Linked DNA regions of Diceros bicornis minor. The protein of the gene in region 1 interacts with the protein of each later gene in a biochemical or structural test. Links are inferred from orthologs where the notes say so. Each region holds a gene or a part of one and is shown on either strand. Other genes may lie near its edges.

Evidence for each region.
Region 2: the proteins of SKP2 (region 1) and CCNA2 are reported together in a solved structure, tested with the Homo sapiens proteins (2 studies listed by BioGRID, with this or other methods). The link is inferred for Diceros bicornis minor from reciprocal best matches to the Homo sapiens genes SKP2 and CCNA2.

What each region holds. Positions count from the first base shown.
Region 1 is NC_080759.1:32,941,649-32,949,696, reverse strand, and holds the start of SKP2 (S-phase kinase-associated protein 2), read left to right. Parts: upstream 1-4,993; 5' UTR 4,994-5,118; coding exon 5,119-5,162; intron 5,163-5,663; coding exon 5,664-5,935; intron 5,936-8,048. UniProt on the Homo sapiens protein: Substrate recognition component of a SCF (SKP1-CUL1-F-box protein) E3 ubiquitin-protein ligase complex which mediates the ubiquitination and subsequent proteasomal degradation of target proteins involved in cell cycle progression, signal transduction and transcription.
Region 2 is NC_080750.1:15,146,768-15,154,283, reverse strand, and holds the start of CCNA2 (cyclin-A2), read left to right. Parts: upstream 1-4,484; 5' UTR 4,485-4,746; coding exon 4,747-4,959; intron 4,960-5,739; coding exon 5,740-5,983; intron 5,984-7,290; coding exon 7,291-7,403; intron 7,404-7,516. Other genes in the region: BBS7 (Bardet-Biedl syndrome 7 protein), read left to right, coding at 897-1,006, 1,136-1,239, 1,370-1,493, 2,414-2,547. UniProt on the Homo sapiens protein: Cyclin which controls both the G1/S and the G2/M transition phases of the cell cycle. Functions through the formation of specific serine/threonine protein kinase holoenzyme complexes with the cyclin-dependent protein kinases CDK1 or CDK2.

The DNA.
Region 1 (8,048 bases):
ATACCATCCTTCTAGGCACATGATCAAAATGGAGGCAGACTACTCCAGATTATATGCTGAACTGTAACCATGTGCAGCTGTGCAAAAAAACTACTGAAGGGCAAAAGGGGAAATAGGCCTCTGAGCACAACAATGGTCCTTCTAATAATATTCTTTAAATATTAAAATAATGTGTTTAGGCTAAATGGAAAACAAGAAGAATATACTAAAATTTGAGGCAAATCAAAATTCAGTTCCATGTGATAAGAAATGAAAAAGAGACTTAAAGCTGTCATGGGTTGGCATTAACACCACAGCAGCAAAAGTAGATTTTACTCAAAATCAAAATGCCAATTCTTTCATTCAATCGAATTTTAACATCTAATATGCGGACATAGTCTACCTCTCAAAATACCAGTTCTGAAAGTCCTAAACACTTAAAATCCAATTCAGTGTTCTACCAATAATCAATATATTATACAATATTACCTTCAAATTCCTTTCATAATTAGCTTGTTAATGATACTGACTTGGAGTACTGTTTCCTGAGGGAAAGAGAGACAGGAAGGAAGGAAGAATTCATAATAAATGAACAGGAAAACACACACAAAAATTTTGTTAAAACCAAAGATCCTGAAACTGAATGAAAAATTTGACTGTCAGTCAGACTATCTGACTAAAACCTAATGATTCATCAGACTCAGATTATGTTAACTTAAACATGTATCTTTACTCAGATACATAAAGTAACAAAAACTAGGAGACAACTCAAGATCCTGCTAATGAAAAATCAAAAGAATCTGAACTAGACGTGAGTGATGAAAGTCAACAATTCTCTACCACCAATCAAAATATAAATCTTCCGAAGATAGTCATTATTCTTATGTTTAAAGACTCCAGGGATAGAGAGAATTCAGCTTAGGATGTAGACAGAATACCAGAAGAGAATATTGCTCCCACTCTAAAAATGGGAAAAAGTCATATTTCTTGAAGCTATCTTCAAAAAATAAGCTGAGGTGGCAAACCAACCAGGTGAACTGAATTCCAAAGCATGATAAGCCATTTGGAAGATAGACAAATATCAACTGTTTCACCTTTGCCAAGGTATGAGAGAGGAGGTAGCAACCATGTAAGCAGGTAAGAAGAAAACAACCGGATTTGTAATGAATTCTGGTATAGACATTGTAAGACTTATTTTGGAAACTGTAGAATACTCTGAGTCCTTCCTAATAACAAAATAATTTTTTAAAAAGGAATAGCTATCATTTAGCGTGAGTTTACTAAATTCCAACCATTGTGCTAGCACTTAACACACTTTGTTGAATTAGACCTCACAACCCAGTAAGAAAGGAGTGTTAGTATCCTTGTTTAATAGCAGAGAAAACGGCACAGAGAGGGTAAGTAATTTGTCCACGTTCCCACAGATGGTGAGTGGCAAAGCTGGGATTCAAACCGAGGCATCCTGACTACAGAGCCTGGCTCACAATTAGGATACTACACGGTCTCTTCCCCAGTCCAAACATACTTTTTTAATGCAATTTAAATTATTTAAATCATTTTTGTTCAGTTTTCATAGTGAACAAATTAGAAATTCTCCTATTATTCCTTTAGATATATGAAGATAGAATGCTAAGAAAGTCATGTTTAATATAGAATTTAACTAAGCCTTTTTACCTTGCAAGTAATACTGCCATTACTAAGGGTAATATATAACTCTAATCTACATGGGAAAAGTAAAAAGAGCAAATTAGAACTGGGGAAGAACCCTTCTGTTCTTGCCCTAATCTGTCCATCAGAGAGAGCACTAAACTGCAGAGAACTAAAGGTCTACTTTAAAATTAATCAAGGGAAAATAACTCTTTTGAAATCTGATTGGCAGATAGAAACTTCTTGCTATGTAATTGTTCTTAGTCTTTTGTTCCCCTAAGCTAAATAACACAGAAAAAAAAAAAGAAAAGAATTTTAAGATTTACTTCATGCTATGATTCAGGAAGTAAAGAAAAAGCACATCACCCTTCTATTTAAATAGAATCTCTTTTGTTTTACTGATTTTCAAAAAGATCACTAATATACTACTGTATATATATGGCTTATATATACATATATATATATTTGACTATAGCTTATAGTCAAATATCATTTCCAGGCCTTTTTGGCCCCTCCTGTGCCCTTGTAACTATGCTTTTGCCCCTTTGTATAACTTTCTCAATTTACAAAGTCACTTAGTATTCTATCTGAAGCTTCCAATGAGTACTAGAAATAACTCATCCCACAGTCATTTGCAGATATTAAAAAAAAAAAACTATAATTCATTTGTTGTAGATACTGATCTAGTAATTCTACTTCTAGAACTATGGTATACCTCTTTTACTAAAATGGGACATGGGGTGTGCTAAGATCAAACAAATGAAATTAATCAGGAAAATAAAAAAAATCCACATCAGTAGCAATCACGATGCAGTTCCTGAAGAGACCAGGCAGCAATCTCTAGTGACCTAGTAATCTCAAGTCTTCAATGGACACAATTCCTTACATTAAACAGAACCACATATACCAAATTAAACTTTTATTTACTATATTAGGAGAACAGCCATGATTAGAAGGAATGCAGAAAAAAATTATGCCCATATTAGCAAGCTACAGCGTTTCTCTTGTGAGTGCAAAGTGTTAGTCAAATATCTATTCTAGTATTAGAAGACTTCGATTTGCAGAGTTGAAAGGCTCTCTCTGAAGTCCTACAGAGGATCTGGTGTCCACCAATTCAGATACTGCAAGTATTCTGTGAACTAGAAATGTTCCCTAGCTCTCAAGCAACTACTAGCTAAGTCCCAGACTGAACAGGATACTTCTCATCTTTAAATTTAGAATCATCCCATCTCTTAGACCTTCTATCTATGAGATCTGTATCTAAAGTGGCCTTGCCAAATTACTTTATATCTCAAAACTTTGTTTATTCTCATCATGGCATTTTAAATACTTTTTTCCTTGTTTATTCTTTCTCCTCCCTTACTTACAAGCTTCCTCTGTCTTGTTCACTTTCCTGAAGGAGACTATAACTTTTATTGCTAAAAATACCTTCTCTAGTGGCTGGCCCCATGGCATAGTGGTTAAGTTCCAGGTTAAGCTCCAATTCAGTGGCCTGGGGTTCGTGGGTTCAGATCCCAGGCGCGGACCTACATCACTCACGAAAGCCATGCTGTGGCCATGACCCACATACAAAATAGAGCCAGACTGCCACAGATGTTAGGTCTGGGCCAATCTTTCTCAAGCAGAAAGAGGAGGACTGGCAACAGGTGTTAGCTCAGGGCCAATCTTCCTCACCAAAAAAAATATATGTATATATTTTCTCTAATGAGTTGCAATTTTAAGGGAAAAGATGTAGATTTCAAAGGAAGGCCACTGCTTTCTCCTTAGCCAAAGTAACATAAAACTGACTTTATGTAAAAAATCAGAATACTGCATTTAAAAATATTTTCCATACACTATTAGTTTAATGGTTTGTGAACATTCTACATAGTATTCTTTACCTAGTTTCAACCAAAATCACTTTGTGACCAGATCCCCTTTTTACACCAATTCCACCTACTTTCAAGAACAACTTGAAGCTTCATGAATACTTTCCTCTCTTAAGAAGTGGTTACTTTTCAAGCTAAGCACCAACCTTGAAACAAGCACAGACGTGGGCAAAGGAGGTTTAATTCATGTTTTTTAAAGAAATGAATCCTTTTTTTAAAACAACTAAGAATCACTTCTTTAAATAAAGTGTGTCACACAGCATAGTGACCTACTATTTTTGAGATGAGGCTGGCCTGCTTGCTTCTGAACTTTTTAAATCCTCTCCATTTTCCTTAGGGTCGGAATTTATTCCCCTTCCCTCTTCCACTGTTCTCCCGGGTTCACAGTTAACAGTACAGTTTGCACAACGGATTTCGCATGGTCATCCTACCTGGAATATGGCACGCTCCCTACTCTAAGCGCCCCCCAACTCTTCTCCGCAGAGATAGGCTAAAAGCAGCTGTCTTGACGGCGGCGACGCAACCCCAGACACAACCGGTTGAGCAAGCGCAGCCGAATGGCTTTGCTGGTGGCTCGCAGCGTTGCATTGTCAAGCCCTTTGCAAACATATAGTCACCTGATTTGTTCCCACGCTAGCCCTTATAAGACTAGTCAAGGCTGCCAGGGGATGCGCAGCTTTCCCACTGCACACAGGAGCCACTATGGTCTCCTGCTCCCCTAAAACTAAACCACCGCCTCTCGTTCGAACTGCGCTTTAGTTTACAAAACGCGTTATCTTATCCGCCCCTCTTTCCAAGCCTGGGAGACGAGCGTCGTCGTTGCAGTGCCTAGTTTACAGGTGAGCAAAGGATCCTGCCCACAGACCCGGTCCTAAGGGCCGCCCTCTCCTCCGTGGAGGAGGCAGCTTCCTGGGAGAGGGGAGAACAGCTGTGACGCCCCGGGCTCGCAGCCTCTCACCTGGCCGGTGGGCCGGGCTACCGCCTCCACTCAGCTTCCGGGAACGTGGGCCCCGCGGCGGCGGCCAACCGGGGTCTCCAGGGTCCTCTCGATGTCCGTCTGCGCGCGGCCCCAGACCCAAAGCGCCTCACGCTCTCTCCCTCAGGCCCACCGTCCGATCTCGCCAGACAGCGTCTGGAAGGCCCAGGAAACTCCGCGTCCGCCACAGCCGTCCAGGGTCTGGGACCCACGCGCCGAGGCGACAGCGGTGGCGGTCACCAGAAGGCCTGCGGGTTCGCGGGAAAGGAAAACCCGGCCCCAGTCAAGCAGCTGACATTTCTCAGTCAGCCGAAGCACCGCCCACTTCCGCTTCCCCGCCTACTCCGTGGGCTCTGCAGCCCCTCAGCCGCGGGGGGTTGTGGGTATCGCGAGGGCGGGCAAAGCTGCAAGGAAAGAGAGTAGTGGCGAGCCAGGCGGACTACGGGGCAGGGCAGAAACTACAATTCCCAGCAGGCAGGGGGCCGCAGACGGCGGCTGCGGAGGAGAGCGGGCAGAAGAGCTCTGCGCGCGCGGCGGGGATGGAACGTTGCTAGAGTTCGCGGGTCTTGCTGCTGCACGCTGCAGCAGCACGCTGTGAGCCGCCGCGCGCCAAAGCGGGAATCCGGGAGGCGGGCAGCTCTGCAGTCAATGCACGCATTTAAAACTCCCGAACCTGTAGACGCCATGCACAGGTAAACTGATTGCAAAATGGGGCAGAACATGAATGGACCTTCTTAATTCATTTAGGCCGCGGATATTGCTACTTGCAATATTGTTACTAATGCTGCAATGCGAATGATTGCTTAGCCGCTTCTTTGGGAAAGCGCGAATGGATGGAAGCTTTAGTGCGGTGATCAGCGTGCGGTTTTATTAGGCTCCCCTTATTGGGCTTCCCTGCTACTGTTTTCAATCACTGTGTGATTGCCCTCTTTCTTTCCTTGTCTGTTCTCTCGACTTTAAGAAATTCTTGAGGCCTTCTGCATGATCGTAAATCAAAGAGCCTTTTCGATTTGTTTGGTTATTTTCTCTTTCATTCTTGGGAACTCGCTACCATCACGTAAAAAATGCAATTCTGTTAGCTATTGTGAAAGTTTTCTACAATGCGTAACTGGCAATTCCGTTTAGGCCTACCTTGGAATTATTTACGGGTGTGTTGTAGAAAGAAGCGGGGTGGCTATTGTGCATCTTTGCAGGAAACACCTCCAGGAGATTCCCGACCAGAGTAGCAACGTTACCACCAGTTTCACGTGGGGATGGGATTCTAGCAAGACTTGTGAACTGCTGTCAGGCATGGGGGTCTCCGCCCTGGAGAAGGAGGAGGTGGATAGTGAGAACATCCCCCAGGAACTGCTCTCAAACCTGAGTCATCCGCAGAGCCCGCCACGAAAACGGCTGAAGAGCAAAGGGAATGACAAGGACTTTGTGATCGTTCGCAGACCTAAGCTAAATCGAGATAACTTTCCAGGTAATGTATGAGGGTAAAACTGTCAATCACCCAAAGGGTGTGTTGAACTAGTTTGTTGTGCAAAATGGAGATTTGTTCAGGGATCTTTAGAATGGGGCCCTTTTAAAATTGCCTAATTCTAAAGCTATTTTCCAAAGAAATGAGACAACTCATTGTCGTTGAAGTCTACAGGAATATTGGTAGGAACATATCTTCTAATGCACAATTGACTTTTGATCCATGTGAAATTTTAACCCATGAGAAGACATTCCTGCCTTTTTCCTTAGAAGGGAATCTGCCTGCTCAAAAGCCAGCTCAGTGCCACTGATAAATGGGAACATAAGCAAAGATCTTCTTGTAGGATTCTTTTTGTTTATATTCTGCTGCTCTATAGCCCTGGTTGAGCTTTTTGCTATAATCACTTTAGTTATTTGTCTAAGAACTGCTAAAGTGAAAGTTAAACACAAGTGGAGGAGACTTATCTCCCCAAGTACACTCTCAAATGGGCTTCCTCTGGCATGCCCTGTCTCCATTACTGCCAGCATTAAACCCAACCCAACCCAACAATCTGAGGGTCACTCAGATTCCCACCATCCCCTGACATCCAGCCAATCATTGAATCTTTCCCTCTTGTCTCAGAAATATTCTCAAGCTTTCATCATCTCTTGCCTGAACTATTGGAATGGACTCAGAATTCTAGCCTTATCCTCCCCAGATCCATCCCCAGAGTTAGAGTGGACTGGTTGAAATGTAGAACTCACTATATCATTCCCCTCTTAATAGCTCCCCATTCCCAGTCTTCTCGGCAGGTGAGAGAGTGCCTCCCAGAGTGTCTCCCAGAGAACCCCAAGAGTACTCAGTCATAGGGTAAACATAGTGCATTGACCTGGGGTTATCAGTTTTTCTTGCTAGTAAGTCATTTAAAACACTAATTCAGCAAATATTTGCTGACAACATGCTATGTGCTAGGCATTGTTCTAGGTGCTGGGGATACAGCAGTGAGCAAAACATAAACATTCCTATGCTCGTGCAGCTTCTGTTCTAGAGAGAGGACACAATAAACATAATAAATATGGTAGGTAGTATGTTAGAAGGTGATAAGTGCTATAGCTAAAAACAAAAATAGAACAAGCCAAGAGAGATTGGAAGGACTAGAGTGGGAAGATGGATTGCAATTTTGAGCAGGGTATTGAAGGAAAGCTTCACTTAGACAGTGAGCTTTAAGCACAGGCATAAAGGAGGTGAGGGACTGTGCTATGCAAATACCTTGGAGAAGAGAGCAGCAAGCAGAGGGACCAGCCAGTGCAAAGACCCTGGGGCAGAAGCGTGTCATGTTTGTTGAAGGAACAACAGGCAAGCCATACTCCCAGAGTGGAGGGAGGGAAGGGAGAGTAGTGGGAGATCAGGCTAGAGGTGGTGGTGAGCAGAGTTGTGATGTGACCTTTTAAAAGGACACATTCATGTGTTGAGATTAAAATGTAGAGGGTTGAAGGTAGAAGTTTAGAGACTTGTTAAGAGGTATGGGCTTGGTGATAAACTGGTCAGATTCTGGATAGATTCTGACATTAGAGTCAACAGAATTAGGAGGCTATTGAAAGTGTCTGAGTAGAGGTGATAAGTCTAAACTGAAATTGGGTGGGCAATGGAGAAAAAGAGATTAAAGAAATAAAGATGAAGTCTTGCAGATCCAACATAAATAAGTATATTCCTAAATTCTTCCCATTTGGCTTCTTTTGCAGAAGCGTTGATTGGTTGGTTGGTTGCTTGCTTTGCTTTAAAAAAATCTGGGGTTTTTTTGGTTTTTGACCTTTTCATTAGGAAAAAGAACCTTCAAGTTATGGTCTGGGAATCTGCATCAGGAGTTGGTTAATTAAAAAGGCAGCGAAGGATTGTGGTGAATTCAGACAAATCTGGGTTTGAATCACTATTCTGCTGTTTATCAACATTGGCAAGTTATTTGAGTTCTGTGTGCCTTAGTTTCTTTGTGAAATGGAGTGATAATACTCACTTCATGGGCTGCTGTGAAGATTAGATGACAGAGCACACGTAAAGCTCTTAGCGTGCTGCCTGGCACATAACACTCAATACGTAAACCCAGTTAATGTGGTTAACAAAATTTCTGATGTCCATTTGG
Region 2 (7,516 bases), on another chromosome or scaffold:
CTGTGTCTAAACCTGTAGTAATGACCCCTGTTTTGAAGTACCACAGTGAACCTCACACTTTAATTATAGCAGACAATTTTGATATGCCTCTGACATATTATATATTTTTATAATAGCACACTTTTACACTTTCCCCTTCTGTGTCCTTAAATATTCTTTTCTTAACAGTCGAAACTCTACTTATTCTTCAGCTACCATAGAGCCTCTCTCTCACTAGTTCCAGTAAAAGTCCAGGATTGAGTATCATTGTCAAGCCATGGACTGCTGTGGTCAGGGGTATGGAATACACTGCTAAATGGTTCCTCCTGAGGTCCCAGAGACGGGACTGAGGCCAATGCCAGTAAAACCATATGGATTGAGAAGGGTGAGAGAGAGGAGTGGTTCCCTGAAGAGAAGGAAGGGTCCTGTGACCAGAAGAAGTGGCAATGGAAGAACAGATGATGTTACTCTTAGGTTTGATATCAGCTTTCTTTTAAGGATGAAACACATAGTCACGCTGTAATTTATGTGATTATATCAAAGAAAAACATATATGTAAGTAAGCAATTCTGAATGCATTTTATATACATAAGGGGTTAGCTATTGGAAGTTTTATTAGAGAAAATGAAAAAAAGTTGTTTTAAATGAAAGACTTATAAATTGTCATATCTTTAGGAGACGTATATCTGACAAGTTTTGTTTAGTTTTACAAGTATGTTCAGAACTCGAATTAATATAACGGTAATATAACAGTATTTAAATATTCTTTATATTAATAAGATATGTATATAAAGAAATCTAAAATCAAATGAAATCTAAACACTAGGTTCTAGTCACAAAATATGTATTTACTGGACATATTTACTGATGTATTTTCTTCTAAAGCTTTTCTTTTAAAAAATATATTAATTTTATAGAAAAGGAGAAGGAGTTTTTAAATCTGACAACATTTCTGCTATATCCATCCTAAAAGATGTGCTGTCTAAAGAAGCTACAAAAAGGAAAATTAACCTCAACATATCATACGGTAAAAAAAAAAAAGAAAGAAAGAAAAATGAATCATTCTTTCTGGGGTTTTTTTGGTTGTTGTCGTTACAATAAGAGTGTTTCTGATCAAAGTGACTTACCTAATTGTGCTTGGCTCAACTCCTTCTAGAAATAAATGAAGTCTCAGTCAAGCACACTTTAAAGCTAATCCACCCAAAGCTGGAGTACCAGCTGCTTTTGGCTAAGAAAGTGCAGTTAATTGATGCTTTAAAAGTAAGTAAATGTGTCATGGACTCATGATCATTATTTTATTGTAATGAGATTTCTAAAATTGTAAAGACTTTAAAGCTACACTGGATTGAATTTTGAACATTAAGGTGCTTCTGTTTTAAATTTAAATAAGGAATTGCAGGTTCATGAGGGAAATACAAACTTTCTGATACCAGAATATCGCTGTATTCTAGAAGAGGCAGATCATCTCCAGGAAGAATACAAAAAGCAACCTGCACATCTTGAAAGACTCTATGGTTAGTGGACATTCTAGAATACCTTGCCATATTTCTTTTCTACTGGCTATTTGCGAAGGATCATGTGAGAGAAGCTGGGCAGAAGGAGACAGGCAGAGATTATAGCAGTCATGAACCAGTGACAACCAATTTATTGCACCAAATATTTATTTTGTCAAGTTAGTTTTAATATTTAATATTCTTGATAAAATGCAAGTAAAAATTAAGAAGTGAAATAAGTGTAATGCAATAATTAATCTATATATATGAAGAAACCGGGTGTGAAATGAATATTACCTATGAAGCATTAAAATTTAGGCTATATTTCACACAAATAATTTTCAGGTTTTGTTGCTATTGTGAAATATCAAATTGCAGCATTTAATATTTTTTAGGCAAAATTTAATAAGGGATATGTGTATGGGCTGTGTCAGTTTACAGTTCAAAACTCATTTTGCTTTGGTGGTGAGAAGTTAGGTGTTTCACAAATTGTATTGAAAAAAGAGTGAGAGCAAGAGGAACCTAGGAATATTTGCCTTCAAGTCAAATCCCAAGAATGGTCACTATGTAATGTAATACTTTAATTCAAATAAAGCTGTTAGGGATAGAATCTGTCTACACTATGTCAAAATGGTCAGCTTGGTAGGAAAAATAAACTGCTTGTTGTGATGTTATATATACCAGTAGCAGTTCAAAACTGGTCAGCAGTTGATTGTCTAAATTAATAGCTTGTAACCAGTTGTTAAGAGGATTATTAGCCAAATGATTTATATTTTGAAACTTGTCTTAAAATCGCCCCAAAATAAATATTTTTTAAGCATCAGTCTTTTGGGGTTTGTGTATATTAAATAATGGAATTACAGGTGCTTAGAAATCGATTCTCAAGCAATTACTTTCATTAAACACTGTGTCTTAATTAGAACTAATGTTTTTCTTTGTAGGCATGATCACTGATCTTTTCATAGATAAGTTCAAATTCAAAGGCACCAATGTAAAAACCAAAGTACCTCTTTTACTGGAGATTCTGGACAGTTATGACCAAAATGCCTTAATTGCTTTCTTTGATGCTGCATGAAATGTATCTTTGATGCTGCATGAAATGTAAACAAGGTAAAGTTTCAAAGAAGTCTGTTTAAATGAAAAATGTTAAAACAGAATTACAAGCTAACTGTACCCACTTTTATTTCAGATGCTGTGTAATATCATCTAAAAATATTTGAGATATTTAGTAATGCATCTATTTCTTTTGACAAATGGAGCTTTTTAAAAATAAAGAGAATTTAAAAAAAAAACCGGAATGATTATAAGAGATTTTAGTGGATATTTTGCAAGTGGATGTTTTAACTTTTAAATTGAGAAATAATATTTGGAAAATAAAAATATATTCAAATATTTAACAGGCTACACACATATATAAACTGTAAAGGTTTCAAAATGTATTTGCATATGTTACCTCATTTGATCTTCACAACGTATATTTATTATTATTATTTTGTCAAATCATATAGGAAAACTGATTCTCAGTGAGTTTAAGTGATTAAGAGGACATGCTATTATTTTGTAAAGCTGGGACCAGAACCTAAGTTCTGGTGCCTGGTTTGTGCCTGCTTACTATGTATGTTGTCATCCAGTAGAAGTAACCTACCAATTATTTTTTCTAGGAGTTGAGATTGATTTAGAACTGATTTCGATCTTGCTTGGTAATATTTTTTGACTCATACTCAGTGTATGAAATGCTTGAGTTGGCTCAGTGCTATAAATTGTGCCCAGGGAAATAAGCAGAGTTTGCACAGATTGGGGGGATCTTAACTTGATGTCGTGTACCCAGTAGAGCTATATAAGTCTACTACATGTGAATAATAGTGATGGCTTCTTAGATTTTCCTGCACTGGTATCCACTAATTTCCTTTTTATCATATATGGAGGGAAATATGACTTTAAGAGTATGGGACTTTTGTTCATTAATCTTCATCTTTATTCACATTCAGGGGAATATTGTATTTAAAGGTTGTTTTAAAATGCCATAAAGATTATAATGGAAAATAAGCTATTCTTTCTGTTTTCAAGAAGGGCACACGCATGAATTTGTCAGAAAACAATAATGCTTATTAATTATATACCATTATATTTATTAGTTATCTGCAAGCTTTGTTGTATATTAAATGTGAAAATTTGTTGAAGGCACATATTGCTAAGAGTTTTATTTTAATAAGGTCTTATTGTTTTTACTGTATTTAAACAACCTTCATTTCTAAATGGAACACATAATTATATCTAGGTCACCAGAATTTCACTGGGTGCTTTGTGTTGGCTGCCACAGCTTGGGGAAAAATAGATAAAAATTAATGGCTGTCTAGTTGAATTTCTTGTAGTACATTCCTATTTGTGATATATATCAAAAGTAGTTCAAGGTGGCACCTTAAATTAATTGCATCTTCATTAGGAAAAATAACAAGCATAAGACTAAAGAAACCCCTAAATACTAAGATGACCTTATAGTCTGCCACTTGAGTACCTGTTACCACGTGAGCCGCGTGTTAAGTGATTTCTGCACATTATTTAATCCTAACGACAACCGTATGACGTGTGGATAGCATTCCTCCCAATGACATAAGAGGACTGCGAACGCAGACACTGAAGACTACGAGGCCCGCGAGTGGCCGGGCCCGATTTTAGACCATGGGAAGCAAGTCCGTCAAGCTAACTGGAGGTCCCGGGGCTAAAGGCTGGGCGGCCCACTAGTAATCGCTCCAGGTTAATTCAGTTTATCCTTGAGCCAGCCCTTGCCCTGAGCCTGCCTAGTGGCTCCGTTTAAAGTCACCCTAAACTCAGGCCCCGCCTCCCCGGCCGGCGCAGGCGTCCTTCCTCCCGCCGCCGTTCGACGTTTCTCCGCCCCGCCCCTACGCGGTAGCCTTCGCGGCCGCCTTCACTCGCCTGCGACCGCGTCGCCTCTAGTGACGTCACCGGCCGCGGCCCTGTTCATTGGTCCATTTCAATAGTCGCGGGATACTTGAACTGCATGAACAGCCGCCGCTCCGGCGGGCTGCTCGCTTCTTTTCGGGGGCGTCTGTCGCCTTCCACGCCCGGCAGTGCCTGTCTGCGCCTTTCGCAACTTCTCCGGTCCTGCGCGATCCCGAGCGGGCGCGCGCGCAGGCGGGCCCGGGCTGCGGCGGGCGGCCACGGCTGAAGCCTTCCTCTGCGCGGCCGGTCGGCGGGACGGAGTGCACGCTGCTTGGCGCCGCAGGCTGATCCCGCCGCGCCCCCGGGAGCAGTGATGCTGGGCAGCTCCGCGCCCGGGCCTGCGGCCCGCGAGGCGGGTTCTGCGCTGCTAACATTGCAGCAGACGGCGCTGCTGGAGGACCAGGAGAACATCAACCCCGAGAAGGCGGCGCCCGCCCAGCAGCCCCGGACCCGGGCCCGGCTGGCGGTGCTGAAGGCCGGGAACGCGCGGGGTCCAGCGCCGCAGCAGAGGCCCAAGACGCGACGGGTAAAGAGATCTATCTGCGGGAGGGTGGGCCGAGCAGGAGTTCTGCGTGGGTTTAGCAGGCGGAGGAGTGGCGAGAAAGCATCCTCTGGGCTTTTTTAGGGAGGCCTCGGTCTGGAGTCCCCTTGATCCCTGGTTTCCTGGCATGTGGGATGCCACTATGGTAGTTTCTCCCATTCCTCTCCTTGCTAGCACTGTGCGTTATGTTGCCTGTCTGATCTCTATTGAGGTATGTTTCTATAGATAATGGGGTCACACCAAGCCCTACAACATGAGTGTGGTCTTTGCACGACTCTGCGGCTTCCTCTCTGCTTTTAAACCCCAGGCGCTGCTCTAGGACCCAGACCCCCTTTCTCCTCCCCATATGGTTAAGAGATTACTCTGCTTTACGAAAGGGTATAATAATACTTTGCTTTTGGTAAATTCCGCCATTTTACCGGATTTGCTCTGTTGCTCCACCCTGGGGCGAAAGTGGTGAACCGACACTTTTGCCATCTCTCTCCTAAACTTGTCATCTTTCGGCCTGCCGCTCCACCCATCTTGTGGCCTTGATTAGTTTTGCATAATTCCACTTAGTATGACTCTTTCTATAACCTTCCTGGGAATGCGTGTGACAAATTGGAACATCCCTTCTTTTTTCAATCCCTCAAATCCTTGCCTTTGCCCCAAAAAGTTTAATTTTCCTGATAGAGTATTTGGGAGTAAAACCGGAGGCTGAGACCCATAAAAGAAAGCAAAACTCCATTTAAATAGCCTCAAAGCCAGTTATTCATTTCTTTTTAGGTTGCACCTCTTAAAGATCTTCCTATAAATGATGAGCATGTCACTGTTCCTCCCTGGAAAGCAAACAGTAAACAGCCTGCATTTACCATTCATGTGGATGAAGCAGAAGAAGAGACTCACAAGAGGTCAAGTGAATCTAAAAAAACAGAATGTGAAGATGCCCTGGCTTTTAATTCAGCTATTGCTTTGCCTGGACCAAGAAAACCACTGGCACCTCTTGATTATCCAATGGATGGTAGTTTTGGTAAGTTTTAAAGAACATCTGTGTCAGATCAATGTAATTATAATTATTAAATAGATTGGATTAACAATAATTTGCATTTTAAGACATTATCTTACCTGATCCTTACTAGATAATGAGTTAAGTTTAATGTAACAAGTTTAGAAAGGGTGTGACTTAGGCCTCATTTCTAATACATGACCTAATGACCTACGAAAGGACCCAGAGCCTGATCAGGTGCTCCTTTTGGTACACTGCCAATCACATCAATTTAATTGAATCTCACTTATTTTAATCTGACCCTGGAAATGTTTGCTTGATTGGGAGAATAGATTTCAGTTGTAGTCATAAGACTTACTTTGTACATACCACTGCAGAGAATGCTCTTTGAGGATGCAGCTTTAAATATTGTGATGTCTAACATCTATTTCAGCTTTAAAATTTTGTTTCTGTAAAACTGGTCTGCGTGATTGTCTGATATCAGAGAGGGACACTGTCCTCCTGTGAGTCAGCAGTTGAACCGTGGCTGTTGGCGCTGAACCACATATTAAGCAAAGCAGCTGCTGTAGACAGCTGTGTCCCCAGTTTGTGCTGCCTCTTCACCATAGGGCTGTGGAGTGCCTGGTCAGCTCACTAAATCCAATCTTGTTTTAGTTTTACTTCTATTGATGAGAGGTGGTCTGGGAATAGCAGGCAAGTCCCTTTGGAAATAATGTGTGTATTTTTATTTAAAACTTGCGACAAATTTTAAGTCAGTGAACCTTGAAGTAAAAAGAATAATGGATGATATTCTTTGCTTCCAGAGATAATTTAAAATTACAAAAAATAAATCACTTGTTGATTGTAGTATTAATTTGAACTGTCAGTAACAAACCTAATTTTCTCATCAACACACTTGTTAGCCTTGCTTCTAGTTATTGCCTAGATTGTGCTTTGAATATTTGGGGTCTGCAAACTCATGGGGCAAATCCTGGATATTATCTCAAAACTTCGATTTTAAGTTTGTCCTAACAGAACTACCGTGCCCTCTACTCCTCTCTCTCCTGGAAGATGAATGCTACTTGAACATAATGCCTGATCCTCAAACTCATTTTCCTGTTAGTGGCCTAACGGTATTTTTTCTTGTTAACTAAAATCATTCCAAAGCTAAGTGGACAGATGTACTAAAACCAGAGGGAAATATTCTATGTACTTTGTCCTGAGGAGCCCTTTTTAGTTGGATGAAGTAAATGCTTCATAGTATGGGAATCCTTACAAGGGCAATCACTTTTAGCATTAAATTAAATAGAAAATTAAACAGTGAACTTAATCACACTTTTGGATTCTCCTAGAGTCCCCACATGCTATGGACATGTCAATTGTATTGGAAGATGAAAAGCCAGTAAGTGTTAATGAAGTACCAGACTACCATGAGGATATTCACACATACCTTAGGGAAATGGAGGTAAAGGCTCTCTGAATCCACTTTTTATAATGTTATTTATTCAATTTGGAGAAATGAAATTGAGAGGATAATGTTTTTAAGTTTTTTACGGTTAGTAAATTACTCTAATGCCA